4 linked regions of the Callithrix jacchus genome follow. The protein of the gene in region 4 purifies or fractionates together with the protein of the main gene of each other region. This does not show direct contact. Links are inferred from orthologs where the notes say so. Each region holds a gene or a part of one and is shown on either strand. Other genes may lie near its edges.

Evidence for each region. The genes of interacting proteins can lie anywhere in the genome.
Region 1: the proteins of RELA (region 4) and BTRC purify together in Homo sapiens (affinity purification with mass spectrometry; 3 studies listed by BioGRID and IntAct, counting the BioPlex papers as one, with this or other methods). This does not show direct contact. The link is inferred for Callithrix jacchus from reciprocal best matches to the Homo sapiens genes RELA and BTRC.
Region 2: the proteins of RELA (region 4) and STAT3 purify together in Homo sapiens (affinity purification with western blotting; 5 studies listed by BioGRID and IntAct, with this or other methods). This does not show direct contact. The link is inferred for Callithrix jacchus from reciprocal best matches to the Homo sapiens genes RELA and STAT3.
Region 3: the proteins of RELA (region 4) and PRMT5 purify together in Homo sapiens (affinity purification with western blotting; 3 studies listed by BioGRID). This does not show direct contact. The link is inferred for Callithrix jacchus from reciprocal best matches to the Homo sapiens genes RELA and PRMT5.

The regions. Positions count from the first base shown.
Region 1 is NC_133513.1:94,307,604-94,311,646, reverse strand, and holds the start of BTRC (F-box/WD repeat-containing protein 1A), read right to left. Parts: upstream 2,810-4,043; 5' UTR 2,691-2,809; coding exon 2,643-2,690; intron 1-2,642. UniProt on the Homo sapiens protein: Substrate recognition component of a SCF (SKP1-CUL1-F-box protein) E3 ubiquitin-protein ligase complex which mediates the ubiquitination and subsequent proteasomal degradation of target proteins. Recognizes and binds to phosphorylated target proteins.
Region 2 is NC_133506.1:121,807,222-121,811,437, forward strand, and holds the start of STAT3 (signal transducer and activator of transcription 3), read right to left. Parts: upstream 2,810-4,216; 5' UTR 2,615-2,809; intron 1-2,614. UniProt on the Homo sapiens protein: Signal transducer and transcription activator that mediates cellular responses to interleukins, KITLG/SCF, LEP and other growth factors. Once activated, recruits coactivators, such as NCOA1 or MED1, to the promoter region of the target gene.
Region 3 is NC_133509.1:57,297,876-57,301,880, reverse strand, and holds the start of PRMT5 (protein arginine N-methyltransferase 5), read left to right. Parts: upstream 1-1,196; 5' UTR 1,197-1,211; coding exon 1,212-1,321; exon of another isoform or gene 1,322-1,347; coding exon of another isoform or gene 1,348-1,406; intron 1,407-1,951; coding exon 1,952-2,070; intron 2,071-2,226; exon of another isoform or gene 2,227-2,361; coding exon 2,362-2,447; intron 2,448-2,923; coding exon 2,924-3,058; intron 3,059-3,745; coding exon 3,746-3,858; intron 3,859-4,003; coding exon 4,004-4,005. UniProt on the Homo sapiens protein: Arginine methyltransferase that can both catalyze the formation of omega-N monomethylarginine (MMA) and symmetrical dimethylarginine (sDMA), with a preference for the formation of MMA.
Region 4 is NC_133511.1:122,748,439-122,751,949, reverse strand, and holds part of RELA (transcription factor p65), read left to right. Parts: intron 1-175; coding exon 176-307; intron 308-1,139; coding exon 1,140-1,244; intron 1,245-1,460; coding exon 1,461-1,673; intron 1,674-3,511. UniProt on the Homo sapiens protein: NF-kappa-B is a pleiotropic transcription factor present in almost all cell types and is the endpoint of a series of signal transduction events that are initiated by a vast array of stimuli related to many biological processes such as inflammation, immunity, differentiation, cell growth, tumorigenesis and apoptosis.

The DNA of each region.
Region 1 (4,043 bases), on a different chromosome or scaffold from region 4:
CAACATACTGGGATTACAGGTGTGGGCTACCGTGCCCAATCATCTTCCTTTCTTAAAATTGACTGAATAAACAGACATGCTATAGCAGGGTAAATGGCACCAAATGAATTTGTGACTTACTTAGATTCGTAAAGACTGTTACTGCACTGAAAGAGAATACCCAATCTCAAATTCTTCATTCTCTGTTTCTTTTATTAAAGTGTCATTCTGGTGACCCTCTTCTAGTTGACCTTTTGTAGAACAGCAGGCAAGGTCAATAACGAAAGTACTAAAATTAAAGAAAAAATTGGCTTCTCCCTATGGAAACTGATTCAAGATTTAATAACGTGTGGTGCCCCTAAAAGCTGCAACTATTACATGATCATCTCCAAATCCACTTTAACTCAACTAGGAGGCCATTATCAAAACATAACTCACTGGTACAAAGCAGAGATTAAGTAGCTAAGAATGTTCCTAGGCTGAAGTCTAACTGAGAGTAAAAGGGATGATCTCACAATGTCTCTTTATGTTTTGTAAATCACATTATTCAATAAATCTGACACAAGTGTGAGGATAAGGATTAAGAGTCAACCCTCGTCTGGGCGCAATGGCTCACGCCTGTAGTCCCAGAACTTTGGGAAGCCAAGGCGGTCAGGCCACAAGGATTGAGACCATCCTGATCAACATGGTGAAACCCAGTCTCTACTAAAAATACAAAAATTAGTTGGGCGTGGTCGTCCGCACCTGTAGTCTCAGCTACTCCGGAGGTTGCGGCAGAAGAATCGCTTAAACCCAGGAAGCAGAGGTTGCAGTGAGCCGAGATCATGCCACTGCACTCCAGCCTGGGTGACAGATCAAAACTAGGTCTCAAAAAAAAAAAAAAAAAAAAAAATCATCCCTCTAAGTAGAAAAACAAAAATAAGCAGTACTAGTTTTCTGACTTAAGTCTAGTAACTTTCACTTACTTCTAAAGTCCAATAAAACTTCAAGGTCTCTTCTTTATATTTAGAATTTTAACACTGGGCAGAAATCCAAGAACCTTCTTCAGGCTCAATAAAATTTTGTTAATGATACCCTTGAACTTTAATTAGGTGTTTTTGAAAACACTAATGCAAAATAAAGTTTTAGTAAATTTGACTAGTTTCTGAAGAAGTATTCCCTCTAAATGGGGCACTTTAAAAGCCTAAAATACAATTAAGTTAGTATCCATTTTTATTTGGATTTGTTATGGTATTTTAGGCAAATATACAAAATAACTATTTTTTAAGCAAAGGAGTAAGATTGGAGGGACAAGTCACAATACTTCTGAAATAGCAAGACTTGACTGCAAATAATATCCATGTCCCTAAGGCTACCTGTTAAAGTCTACGCATTCCATCACTCTTTAGTTGTAACCACAAAGGCTGGTTTTACACCTAGGATATACAAGAAGCATCAGATTAAAAGCATCAAATATCAGACTATACAAGTTTGCCATAGATAAGCATAGCAAAAAGAAAAGCGTGATACAAAGTTAGAGGTTCCAAGGGGTTTAAACACACCCACAAAATCCAATTTTTGCTCACACTGTGCTTCAACCTAAAACTGATGGGTAATCACAAATCCTGACTTACCACTGACTTATTCCCTACCTCCACCCTTTTTATCTCCTGAATTTCTCAACTGATCTCATCACTTCTTAAGGGTCTTTGCAACTCTCCACGGCCTTTCCTTTCCCAGAAAATGATACAAAGCACCTGGCCTCCACATTTTACATTCCCACAATTTAGCTTCAAATTTTGTTTTGCTTACTCGTTAGACATTCATTTTGCCCCCAATCTCCTGTACCCGTTTCCCTGACCAATCTTCCTCTTACTTTTCATCACCTTGCCCTTCCTACAGTATTTAGCTTCTCCTTTCAAAGTAGAGTATTTATCCTTCTCCCTGACATTTGTAATTCTAGTTTACTGTAAACATGCTCTTCCCCTCCCAGGGACTGTCATTATAGCCCTACGTTTTCATTCCCAGTCGTTATCTTCTTTAGTGAGGCCTCTTCCCTTCCAGAGTTTGTCAACATTAGTTTGGCCAAGCTGGGATTCCACCTTCAAGGCAAAGGATATTCTCCCTGCTCATTCTACAAAAGTATAAGCCTGTCACCAGCCCTAGCGTTCCCTCCTCCACCCTTAAATCCATCTATATCCAGCCCTGCCCGTTCCCCTCTACCCGTAAGATCTGTCTGCTCTCTATCCCGCACTCCCCCTCCCCAGTCCTGAATGCACCTCCTCCCCGGACCTTACTCGTACCCTGACACAGGAAAGGCCCAGGCAGCGGCCTCACGGCGCTTCTCCACAGAGCTCCCTCCGCTCTTCAGTAACTGTCCCCACGCCCCTTTCCCTCCAGGGCCCCGTGCGCAGCCAGGAGCCCCTTCCTCGATTAAGCTCCCGCTGTCACTTGGCCTCTCATCCACAAGATGGCGGAGCTGCTGCCCCCACCCCTGGGTTCGCTCCGCAATCCCCAGCCTCCTTTCCGGAGCTCCCATCCCGTCCCTCCAGCCGCCCTGCCGCCAGCCTCGGCCCAGGGTCCCGCTGCCCGGTCCGGCAGTAGGCTGGCGGCCCAGGCCCGAGCTCCAAAACGCCGCCAACGCCACCGCCTCCGCCATTCCCCCGCCTGCCCCGTCTCCTCACCATAAACTTGAGTGCTTTCTCTTGCAGCACCGCCTCGGCTGAGTCCATAATCGCCGAGGCCACTGGGTCCGCTCTCCGCCGGGGCCGCCCCTTTGGTGCCAGGCCGCAGCCAACGCAGCGCCCGGATCCCGCCTCCTCTTCCTTCCCCCCGCCCTCTCTTACCTCTCAGGCACAGGCTGATGGGGCCAAGAAGAATCAGCTTCTCAGTGGGCAGGCGAAAGCCCACTGGCTCACGGGATTAGTAGTTCTAAAGCTTCCCGAAGCAAAAACTGAGGCTATGCCGTGAACCGCAACTCCCACAGTTCACTGCGGTAGCGTTGCGGTTGCCGACGAGTCAGATTTAGATAACTTGCCCTCAAGCAGAGGAAATCGGCTGATGGGAATTGTAGTTTACAGCCTCTAAGGACGAAAAGGGGAGGGGCATGGGTGTCTCCGTGGTTACCGAGGGACGCCAGTAGCGGTTTGCCGGGCGTTTGATATCAAGATGGCGACCAACGCCTCACCTGTAGCCTAAATGCTAAGTAAAACTGTGAGAAGAATCAGGGGTCCTAGAGCCTGCCTAACTGTGGTTTTAGAGAGCTGAACGTCCCCAGATTTCATATATCTGGCGTCTGCGGAAGATTTGCGACCCAGAGGAGCTGGGCCAGTGGGCACCTGGCAGCAGCTCAAACACCAATGCAGCATTTCAAGGTCCTCCTAAGCTATTGCCACCCACACGTCTCCCGAGGAATCTTTTCTCTCCCACAGCATTTCAGGGCAAATAGAACTCGGCTCAGGAAATTCTTGGCGTTTAGAGCTCAAAAAGCACATAGCTTGTTATTGCTAACCCTGGGATGTAAGCCCTGCACTAAGGGTCAAACAGGTTCTTACAAAAGCCCTTTAACAGTGGAATATAATGGCCTCCAGCAAATAAAGCATATAAGTATTTTCTTTGGCCTTAAAAGATATAATATGAGTTTATTTTGGAAATTGGGTCTACCTTAGGAGGAAAAACTCTAGGGTTTAGTTGAAAGTGATTTAGGGCTGGGCACGGTGGCTCATGCCTGTAATCCCAGCACTTTGGGAGGCCGAGGCGAGTGGATCACCTGAGGTAAGGTGTTTGACACCAGCCTGGCCAACTCGGAGAAATGCCAGTCTCTACTAAAAATATAAAAATTAGCTGGGCTTGGTGGCACGCTCCTGTAATCCAAGCTACTCAGGAGGCTGAGGCATGAGAATTGCTTGAACTTGGGAGGCGGAAGTTGCTGTGTGTCGAGATCATGCCACTGCACTCCAGCCTGGGTGACAGAGCGAGACTCTGTCAAAAGAAAGAAAAAGAAAAAGAAAAGGGAGTTAGATTGTCACAGTCTTGACCAAAATATCTTAATTTATAAAATTAATGAACTAAGAAAATACTTTTTC
Region 2 (4,216 bases), on a different chromosome or scaffold from region 4:
CCCCATATAAAAAAAAAAAGAAACTAGAATTCCACTGTTACTTGCCAGTTGCAGTGGCTCATGCCTGTAATCCCAGCACTTTGGGAGGCCAAGGCAGGCAGATCACGATGTCAGGAGTTCAAGACCAGCCTGGCCAATGTAGGGAAATCCCATCTCTACTAAAAATACAAAAATTAGCCAGGCGTGGTGGGGTGCACCTGTAACCCCAGCTACTCGGGAGGCTGAGGCAGGAGAATCACTGGAAGCTGGGAAGTGGCGGATGCAGTGAGCAGAGATCGAGCCACTGCACTCCAGCCTGGGTGACAGTGCAAGACTCTGTGTAAAAAAAAAAAAAATTAATAAAATAAAATAATAACAATAAAAAAAGGCCGGTGCGGTGGCTAATGCCTGTAATCCCAGCATTTGGGAGGCCGAGGCAGGTGGATCACGAGGTCAACAGATCGAGATCACTCTGGCCAACATGGTGAAACCCTGTCTCCACTAAAAATACAAAAATGAGTTGGGCATGGTGGCACGTGCCTGTAGTCCCAGCTACTAAGGAGGCTGAGGCAGGAGGATCGCTTGAACCCAGGAGGTGGAGGTTGCAGTGAACCAAGATCGTGCCACTGCACTCCAGCCTGGCATCAGAGTAAGACTTTCTCTTGAAAAAAAATTAAAAGAAAAGAAAAAAATTGCAGGAGGCACAAATGCCACCACTATGGCACTCTGCTACCTTGGGCAAGTGTCTTGATTCTTTGGCCTCAATTTTCTTATCTATAATATTAAGGTAATTGTTATGTGAACTACCTACCTCAAGTCCTTTGTAGGTCAATTCATAACTGTGCTGTGGGTATTTTTTTTTCCTTTCTTCCTCCTTTCCTTTTTCTTTCTTTCTTAGAGACAAGTTCTCATTATGTTGCCCAGACTAGACTCTAGACCCAACTCCTGGCCTCTCACTATGTTGCCCAGACCAGACTCAACTCCTGGACTCAAGGAATCCTCCAGCCTCAGCCTTCAAGTAGCTGGGATCAGAGGTGTGCACCACCATGCCTGGAACTGTGGGTGTTTCTAAGTGATTATTCTTCCCAAATGAACTACATAAAAAACAAAAGATTCTTTAATTTACCAATGGTTCTTTGTGATGGTGTGCTAATATACAGACTAAAATCAAGGCTCCAACCTCTAAAACATTTAATTCCAGACTTCTTTCCCCCATCCCACTGTGCAAACTGAACAAAAACTGGGCTAGCACTCCAGTCTGGAACATGTAATAAAGAAATAAATGTGCTGACTCAGAGAACATAGATATATTTGATATAAAATAAAAAAAACTGGCTGAATTAAGTCATAACACAATCTAAAGCCACATATAAAAGATTGAGATCATTTTCTGCTTTGCTTTATTCAAGCCAATGTTTTATTAGCACAGCCAGCCAAAAATTTACAATCCATACACAGACTACATAAACCTTTAGTTGCATATACAATAAAGCCAGCAGGTACACACTATACACATTTCCAAAAAAAAAAAAAAAAAGACTAACCACTGATTTTGTCACCACACATACAACGACCTGATATAGCAGAGTGATGTGTACCAAACATGGAAATACCAACTTGGGTGACGGTCTCAATCCTTTTAACTTCAGTGCAAACACACACCCCCAAACGCAGGTAAAGTTTGCACACATGGTTTTTTTCAAAGCCAGCCTTTGTTTCACTCTCCTCTGCATTTACCCAAGATCTTGGCTCTGAGACAGAAAACTCCCACTCTCGATTGGTTCATTCTGTCCTATGCAATTAAGCAACAACACAATCCAGTAAAGGCAATGGCTCAATTATTTATCTTCTGGCCGACTTTACCAGGTGCTTGGAAAAGAACAATGTCAAGAGGTTTATTTCTCTCTACAGCTGGCTGGACGGGTTAATTGGGATTTTATTTTGTCTTCTTTCTTTTTCCTCTCTTTTTTACAAGGCGGGGGAGTGGAGTGAGGGGAGTATAGCTTAACCTAGAAAAAGATGGGAGGGAATTTAGGAAGAGTACCAGTCTGTCAATTTCCTTAGAGGGAACTTGATTCTTATGCAATAAACCTACCCAAGACCAGCCAGTCCGTGAGACTGCAGGGGACAGACACCTATTCCTGCCTCCAGAGGGGTATAGCTGGCTCCTGAAGGAGCGGGAACCCGGCAACTGGAGGAAGTGGCTCAGCGGGAGCCGCCGGCCGAGCGGAAAGGAAGCGCTTTCCGACACCCACCAGAGCCGGTGATCCCCGCCAGTGTGACAGTCGCTCCGGTGGCCGGAACGTCCCCAGGGCCCCAAGGAGCAGGAAATCGGGGGACAGTCCCTCACGCCTGCCGCCGCAGCCGAGTGCGCTCTCGCCCCACGGTTCCCTCTCGAGCGCGTTCTTACTGTTTCTCTGAAGAACGAAACTTCCCTCCAGAGTCCCCAGTCCCTTCCGAGGCCCGCTCCAGTCATCCAGGGGAGTCTTCCCTCAGGGCGACCCTCCGCGTCTCATCTCTCCCCGCCCCAATGCAGCGTCCATACAACCTCTCCAACGTCCCAAAGGCCCCCGGGCCCTACGGCGCCCCCGGGTCCCCAGGCTTCCCCGACGGCCCCACCCTGCACCCCCTTCACCTGTTTCTCCCGCGGAGGCCGAGAGGCCGGGGCTGCGCGTGAGCCAGGGGCGGGCGGCGGGGCTCCCTCAGGCCAAAGGGCCTCTTCTTGCCGACGAGGAGAGACAGCGCCAAGCAGGGTTGCTGGTCCAGGATCCGGTTGGGGCTTGTTCTCTGGCTGCGACGTCGGAACCCCTGGCTCCCCCTCCCAGTCTACGCCGCCGCAGCTCCGGAAACCACTGAATTACAGCCCTTTCAGCCAATCCCCGTCCAGCCCCGGCCGGGCCCGGCATGCCGTCATGCATAATTCATGATCGGCCAGCTCGCTCGGCCATCCAGAGGTCTCAGTGCGTGTGTGGTACAGCAGAAGCCACGCCCACTAGCCAATGAGAGGAGGCGCTAGGAGAAAGGGCGGGGAAAAGAGAAGACTGATACGCCCCTGTGTTGGCTGTTCCGACAGTTTAGTGCTCCTCCCTCCGCCACAGCGAGGGAAGAGCTCAAGGCTTGGGCACAGAAGCCCGGGGGAGGGAGGGAAGATGACCGGAATGTCCTGCTGAAAACTCAGCTGAGTTCCTGGCAGTGTGTGACGTCAAGGCACTTTAAATGCCCCTGATACAGCTCCCTACTGCCCGCTCTCCCTTTTCCCGGCCCTGGGCACCACGTGGTGGCGAGGTTGAGAGCCTCTTACCACGTGAGAATCAGCCAGTTAGACAGTCCCCCAGGTGTCTTCAGATCCTCTGGGGACCCAACTCCTAAATTCGGTTCTGGGGACAACAAAAAGAACCTGGGTGACTCCGCCTGCTTTGAACTTCAGTTTCTGCGTGAGCAGGGACACATGCACCCGGAAACATGACGTGGAAATAGAGTAATTACTAGAGTGCGTGGGGAGAGGGTAGTGGATTTAACCCCGTCCTCCGTTCCATCACTTCAAGCACCAAACGCCGACCGGCTAGCCCATTGGCTGGTACAGGCAAATGCAGAAGACATTATATACGAAAGCTGACACGTACTTGTAAGACTTGACATTTGTATGCGTCTGAATTGAAATACATGAAATGTTCTGCCTTTTTCTTTTCCACCTTGTCTACTTGGTATGCAAGTTTTACAGAATTGAAGTCAGTGGTTCATAGGAAATGTACATATTTTGCCTTTCATAATAGAGGATGAACTTTGCATAATGGAGTGATTTCTGTGTATGTGCTGATACTATCAGGGTTTTTAATTTTTTTTAAGATTTTAAAAATATGTTATTAATATTTGTGTTTGTTTAATACGAACAGGTATAGAGACAAAATCTGAAAAGGTGCCATTATCTCACTGCTCAGATAACCCTTGACTTTTTAATGAACCTGATTCGTATTTAGAAAATGCAGACCGCTGGGCGCGGTGGCTCACGCTGTAATCCCAGCACTTTGGGAGCCCGAGGCGGGTGGATCATGAGGTCATCCCGGTCAACATGGTGAAACCCCACCTCTACTAAAAATATAAAAAATTAGCTGGGCATGGTGGCGCGTGCCTGTAATCCCAGCTCCTCAGGAGGCTGAGGCAGGAGAATTGCCTGAACCCAGGAGGTGGAGGTTGCGGTGAGCCGAGATGCCGCCATTACACTCCAGCCTGGGTAACA
Region 3 (4,005 bases), on a different chromosome or scaffold from region 4:
ACATGGTTCAGATCACTGTTCATCCAACTTTCTATTACACAGCGCCCCCTAGACGTTCAATTCAGCATGACCAAACCCAAACCCTGACTTCCTAAACCCGCTTCTCTCATTTCTTGCTCACTGCATAGACAGAGTCGTAGGCATCACCCCTGGCTTTTCTTTCACAGGGTTCCCTGCCAGTCGATCCCTAAGTTCTGCCAGCGGCGCCTGCGTGGGGCGGACTCTTGTATCGTGTTCTCTTCTTTATCCTTGCTGCCAGGCCCTCAACACCTGTGAGCCCTCTTCCTTCAGGAGTTCCCATTTACCTCCCTATGCCTTTCCTTGCTTCCTTCCTTTCCATCTCTAGCAGCTACTGACATGGGAAAATGTAGATTCTCTCGGGTCTCCACGCCAGGCAATTTCATGACTGCTACCCAATGAAATTCCTTACCGTGAATTCCTTTTCTCCATCTTGAGGTGTGTGTTTAGGCGTTTATTTACATCTTTTGTGTTTGAAACAGAATCACTAGGAAGTAGCTGAGTTACCACAGTTTATTTTAATATGTAGCATTGTAAAGTGACAAAGCCCATTTTAATAGCACCAGCCATTAACCCAGTTTTCTCAATTGACACAAGAAAAACACCTCTGAAGGTAGTTACGGGAAAACCTGACATTAGATGACTGCGGAACCCAACCAACCTAGGACCTGAAAATGAAAGTGAAGATAATAAAGAAGCTACAAACTGAGATAGGAAGGGGAAATTAGAAAATGCTCATGTAGCAAAAGAGAGCGGCCTCACCGAGCCAGCCAGGAGTCGAACCTGGAATCTTCTGATCCGTAGTCAGACGCGTTATCCATTGCGCCACTGGCCCTGGGATAGGAGCGTTTTCTTCTCTGCTATTACTTCAAGGTTATACTGCAGGGTTTCATGGGAGGTGTAGTTTCTTAACTGAATTCGGCCGCTGCACTAAGCATTCTGGGAGATTGAAGTTCATCAGAAACCAGACCCTGAGATTGGTGGATCTGCAGGAGCCACGCCGTACGCCACTGTGCAGCCGGCGGATTGGAGGGAAAAGCCACTCTCCTTCTCTCCCGTTCAGGAGCGGTGGCAGACGCTCTGGTTGTTAAGGCGACTCGTCCCGCCTTCTGGGGGGGGAGGGGGCTTCAGTTCGGCTTTGTGATTGGCTACTACTATCAAGGAATCCCGGCGTGGACAGCGCGAGGAAAAAGATGGCGGCGATGGCGGTCGGGGGTGCTGGTGGGAGCCGCGTGTCGAGCGGGAGGGACCTGAATTGCGTCCCCGAAATAGCTGACACACTAGGGGCTGTGGCCAAGCAGGGGTGAGGGCCGGATCTCCACGAGCGGAATGCTGGGTCCGAACTCGGGGACGGAGAAGGGCAAACTAGTCATCCCGGAGAAGCAGGGGTGAGGGGGTCGGCTAGGATGAGGGCGGGAGAGACTATTACTCTTTGGAGGGGAGGATCCTCGGACCCAGGAAAGTGAGGAAAAGAACTTATGAGGGGCCTGTGGTCACTGAGTCCAAAAGTTGGGGGAGTTGTTGGGTAAACTCAAAAGGGCCCTGGAGGTCGCGATTATTGTCTGGGAGTGGGAGGAGGTTTTAGGGGGCAAGGGAGAGAAGAGGCTAATTTTGACGGGGGAGGCATGGGCGGAACTGGGGCAAATCAGGATGTGATGTTCTGGAAAGACTGTCACTTGAGGAGAAAAAAATTCTGCTTGTGGATTTCCATCGTTTTCTCCTTACATTTTCCATGGCTGTGTTTTGGGGAGAAATTGAGGCACAGTACAGCAGAAGTGATATCCCCCAAGGTGGTCTGAACTCAGCAGCCTAGTGGGGTGAACTGATGGCAGCTGAAAGGGCTGTGGAAAAATCAAGGTAGCCTAAATCCAGTTGCTTGGCTCTCTGGCACTGCTGCTCTCTTTACATGATTCTGGGTCTGTCGCGGTTGTAGGTTTGATTTCCTCTGCATGCCCGTCTTCCATCCGCGTTTCAAGAGGGAGTTCATTCAGGAACCTGCTAAGAATCGACCTGGCCCCCAGACACGATCAGACCTACTGCTGTCAGGAAGGGGTAGGGACCATCCCATATGCCCCTTAATTATTAGAGGCAATAACAACTTAAGCTTTATCGGGGCCCTCATTCTCCTCCTTTTCTGACTTGGATATATTTGTTAGTCCCTGGGATATAAATAACTTGTTTTCTCCTTGCTTCTCTATTCTGCACCAGGCTATCCCACATCTATGTAGAAAAAAACCTTTGTCTCTCATTTCTACACTTGAGTTCCTACTAAAAACTGAAAATTGAACAAGTAAAGTGCTGAACCTTATTCAGTATTTGTCTTTCTTGGGTGGGGGAGTGCAGACTGGAATACGCTAATTGTGGGAAAGCTTTCTCCATGGATCCGTCCAGACTCAAAAGTGGAGAAGATTCGCAGAAACTCTGAGGTGGTAAGACTGACTTCTTTGCTGGATCTTTCTAAAGATTAGGTCTGTAACCATGCTGGGTGGGGAAAGTGGCCCCCTCCCACCCCCAGTAACTTGGTAAATCAATTGAAACAATGAAATGAAAGCTATTAGGCTGGGAGCAGTGATGCACACCTATAATCCTAGCACTATGGGAAGCTGAGGCTATAGGATCACTGGAGCTCAGGAGTTCGAGACCAGCCTGGGCAGCATAGTGAAACTTCGTATCTATAAAAAATACAAAACTTAGCCAGGCATGGTGGTGCATGCCTGTGGTCCCAGCTACTCAGGAGGCTGAGGTAGGAGGATGAATTGAGCTTGGGGAGGTCGAGGCTGCAGTGAGTCAAGATTATGCCACTGCACTCCAGCCTGGGTGACAGAGTAAAACTTTGTCTCAAAAAGAAAGAAAAGAAAGCTATTTGCTTGTTAACTCAACCTTTTCCTCTTTATATCCATTTCAGGCCATGTTACAGGAGCTGAATTTTGGTGCATATTTGGGTCTTCCAGCTTTCCTGCTGCCCCTTAATCAGGAAGATAACACCAATCTGGCCAGAGTTTTGACCAACCACATCCACACTGGCCACCACTCTTCCATGGTATAGCTGAGAGGCTCTTTTCCTGCTGCATATCATGGTAGTCAGATTGTGTTAAGTGCCTTTTTGTGCCTAGCCATTCAGTGAAGGTTATGTTTGGCAGAATTTAAATATAAGTATTGCCAGGCACAGTGGCTCATGCCTGTAATCCCACCTTGGGAGGCTGAGATGGGCAGATTGCTGAGCTCAGGAGTTCAAGACCAACTTGGGCAACATAGTGAAACCCCGTCTCTACCAAAAAAAAAAAAAAAAGCCACACAACACAACGCAAATTAGCCAGATGTGGTGTCATGCACCTGTAGTCCCAGCTACTTGGGAAGCTGAAGTGGGAGGATGACTTGAACCTGTGAGGCGGAGGTTACAGTGAGCTGAAATTGTACCACTGCACTCCAGCCTCAGTGACAGAGCCAGACCTTGTCCCCCCAAAAAAGGTCAGATTGCCCTGCCCATCTAAAAGTGGTATGAAGAGAATTTCAGAACATGTAAATGTAATTATTTTAGAAACTTACATAAGGCAGATATTTACCTAAGGATATTTACCTAAGATACACGTTCACTTACAAAATCACAAATTGGGAAAAGCATAAAGGGATTAACGAGGTCTGGATGAAGACTTTTTTAATTGAGGGAAACTTTCTGGACCCAATCAGTTCAAAAGAGAGTTCTAAAAGGGTGAATGTTTATGTGCAGTTCTGGATGCGGGTACCATTGGTGGCACCAGAAGACCTGAGAGATGATATAATTGAGAATGCACCAATTACACACACGCAGGAGTACAGTGGGGAGGAGAAGACATGGATGTGGTATGTCTCCCTTTGCTGCTGTACCAGGGTGCAAGGGATAGGGTGAGGGGAAGTACAGAGCGGAACCTGTAGGGAGGTCTTGAGCTATGGTGATTGGTCGGCCATATGTAGATGACTGTACTTTTCTGTATTTGACTCTGAACAGGT
Region 4 (3,511 bases):
GGCCCAGGAGAGGACATTCAGGGTCACAGTGGAGGCAGTGCTGGGTTCTGCCGTCTCTAGGACTTGTGTTTCACACATGCACCAACAGCCCTCCCAGCGCACAGCTCCCTGTCCCCACTGATAGCACCTATAACCCCCCTTCTCTTGCTCTCCTGATCACCTGTTTTCCTGGCAGTTCCCATAGAAGAGCAGCGTGGGGACTATGACCTGAACGCTGTGCGGCTCTGCTTCCAGGTGACAGTGCGGGATCCATCAGGCAGGCCCCTCCGCCTGCTGCCTGTCCTCTCTCATCCCATCTTTGACAACCGTGAGTGGCCAGGGAGCCACAGGAAGGGGAGAGGGGTGGGCCTGGATAAGGAGGAATGGGGTTGGGTTGAGTGTGACCTGCAAGAGGTGCTCTTGCTTCATTCAATCATCTTGCATATCCGTCTTCTTTTCTGTGCCCAGCTCTTTGTTGGCTGGGGAGAGAGGGCAAAGAAGACCCAGAGCTGTCCTTCAGGTATAGCTCCAGCCTGGAGTGAGTCTGATGGGAAATGGATATTTTCAGTATCATGTGATGAGAAGGTGGTGTGCCCACAACTGCGATAAAGATTCTAGGAAATGAACTCCTGGGAACAAGATAGTGTTCGGGAATGATGATTCAGTGACGGAAGCCCACAGATGAACTGGGCTGACTGATCAGCTGCAGTCTTTAATTAAGTAACCAGCAGGATGAATGGAAATGAAACAGTTCTGGAGCCCCAAGAATGGGAAACCAGGATAAACTGGGGGTCAGGAGGGAAGGGCTCATTGCCAAGGTGTGTATGGACTGGCCTTAAAGATTACTTGGGTCAGGGGGAGAAAGAGTGTGAGCAGATTGGCGCCCACTGGATTATAAGCTCCGGGAGAGCAGAGAGATTAGGTTTTGTACGTGGTTGGATTCTCCTTGCTTAGATCAGTGTTGAGCACACAGCAGGTAAATACTGGCTGAATCGGTTGGGGTATGGAGCCAGTAAGAAGGTCTGACTGGCTGCAAAAATGTAGGAGGCAAGTTCTGGGCAACCTTGACTCTGGACTGGGCAGAGAAGCTGCATCTCCTGCAGCCCACCCCAGGGACCTCAGGTGGCTCAGGTCGGCCTTCCTTGTTCCCGCTGCCTCAGGTGCTCCCAACACTGCCGAGCTCAAGATCTGCCGAGTGAACCGAAACTCTGGCAGCTGCCTCGGTGGGGATGAGATCTTCCTGCTGTGTGACAAGGTGCAGAAAGGTATACATCGGGAGGCAGGGTGGGCTCTTGGAAGCAAGGGGTGAAGCTGAGCAGAGATGGGGAGTGTCAGGAAACTGGCTTTGGATACTTCCTCCTGTGCCTGGGGGCCTCAGGTGGGCCTCGGGGCAAAGTATCTCAGGAGACAAGCATCAGAAGTTGAGGGGGGACTGCAGAGGGCGTGACATACTGACCACACTGCCATCCCATCTCCTGCAGAGGACATTGAGGTGTATTTCACGGGGCCAGGCTGGGAGGCCCGAGGCTCCTTTTCACAAGCTGATGTGCACCGCCAAGTGGCCATTGTGTTCCGGACCCCTCCCTACGCAGACCCCAGTCTGCAGGCTCCTGTTCGTGTGTTCATGCAGCTGCGGCGGCCTTCCGACCGGGAGCTCAGCGAGCCCATGGAATTCCAGTACCTGCCAGATACAGGTACACAGCTGGGGTGGCAGCAGCAGGGCAGCTGGGCTGTGTCCCATGAGAAAGGCCAAGACTGCATGTCTGGGGTTGTAGTTGAGAGCCGGAAGCTGGAGTCAGAGCTTGGGATTTATATGATAATTGGAATCCATTTCTTGCCTCATTTAATAATAATGTTACCTGACATTGAGCTAGTACTACACATCTGCCCCTATTCCAGGATTACCTGATTTTAATCTCATGAGCCTTTTGAGGTAGGAGATGGTGTCCAACTTGCCTGGCTTCATGTGGCTAGTGAGTAGCAGAGTCAGCGTTGGGACCCAGGCCATCTGGCTTCAAGGGTCCTTTTACCACACTGATTGTCTTGTCACTGCCATACAGCCCAGCCACATTTTGGTCGAGGTTTGAGTACCCACTTGGTACCAGGGCCTGTGCCAGGTATTGTGAATACAAAAAATGAATAAGACATACGTACTCCCTGCCCTTCAGAATCTTAGTCACTTGAGGAAGACAATGTGCAAAACAGATCCATAAGTCACAGAATGACATGGGAAATGGAGGAATGTGCAGAGAGCCATGGGAGCACGGTGGCCTCCGGGGAGCTGGCGACGCTGCGTGGAGTAGGTGGCATTGAAGCTGTAGAAAGACGCAGAAGTGCATTCTCCAGGCAGGTGACCCAGCACCTGGAAGGGAAAGGGTATTGGCAGCTGCACAGCCTGTTCAGGGGCATCTTTGGGATTTGAGCTGATGTTGAGCAGTAGCAGGCCCAGAGAGAGGGGGCCTGGTCAGGCTGAAGGCAGTAGGAAGCCATCGAAGGTTTCTAAGCAGAGAGGTGACAGGAGCAGATTTGGAAGCTGACTCAGGAGGCCACTTGTAGAGGATCAGAGATGGAGAGACTCAAAGCAGGGAGGCCATTCTGGAAGATGTTAACTGTAGCCCAGGAAGAGAAGATGTCTCGTGAACCCAGATCACGTTTTCACCACTGCCGTCAGTTGCCCTTCAGCTGTTTTGTGTCATTTCTTTTTTTTGAGAGAGATCTTCACTCTTGTCACCCCAGGCTGGAGTGAAATGGCGCCATCTCGGCTCACTGCAGCCTCTGCTTCCCGGGTTCAAGCAATTGTCCTGCCTCAGCCTCCCAAGTAGCTGGAATTACAGGCTTGTGCCACCAAGCCTGGCTAGATTTTGTATTTTTAGTAGAGACAGGGTTTCACCACATTGTGCAGGCTGGTCTCAGACTCCTGACCTCAGGTGATCTGCCCACCTCGGCCTCCCAAAGTGCTGGGATTACAGGCATGAGCCACTGTACCCAGCCTGTTTTGCATCTTATGGCCCAAACTCAGTCTCACCTCAGGACCTATGTCTAGCTGTTGCCTCTGCTTGGAAGGCCTGGCCCAAGGTTTTCTCTTGCTGTTTTTCTGGTTTTTGAGATGAAATTTAGCTCTTGTCACCCAGGCTGGAGTGCAGTGACATGATTTCGGTTTACCACAACCTCCACCTCCAGTGTTCAAATAATTCTCCTGCCTCAGCCTCTGAGTGGCTGGGACTACAGGCATGCACCACCACGCCTGGCTAATTTTGTATTTTTAGTAGAGATGGAGTTTCTCCATGTTGGTCAGGCTGGTCTCAAACTCCCAATCTAAGGGCATCCGCCCGACTCGCCCTCCCAAAGTGCTGGGATTACTGGTGTGAACCACTGCACCCAGCCCTGACCCAAGGTTTTCATGCAAGTGGCTCAGGCCAGTGCTTCCCTGACCACCTCTGGATTAGACTGTCCTCACCTCACTGGTATTGTTATATCACCGTGTCTTCCCTGGATCACCATCACTTGAGATTTTTTGGTTTGTAGGCCGGGT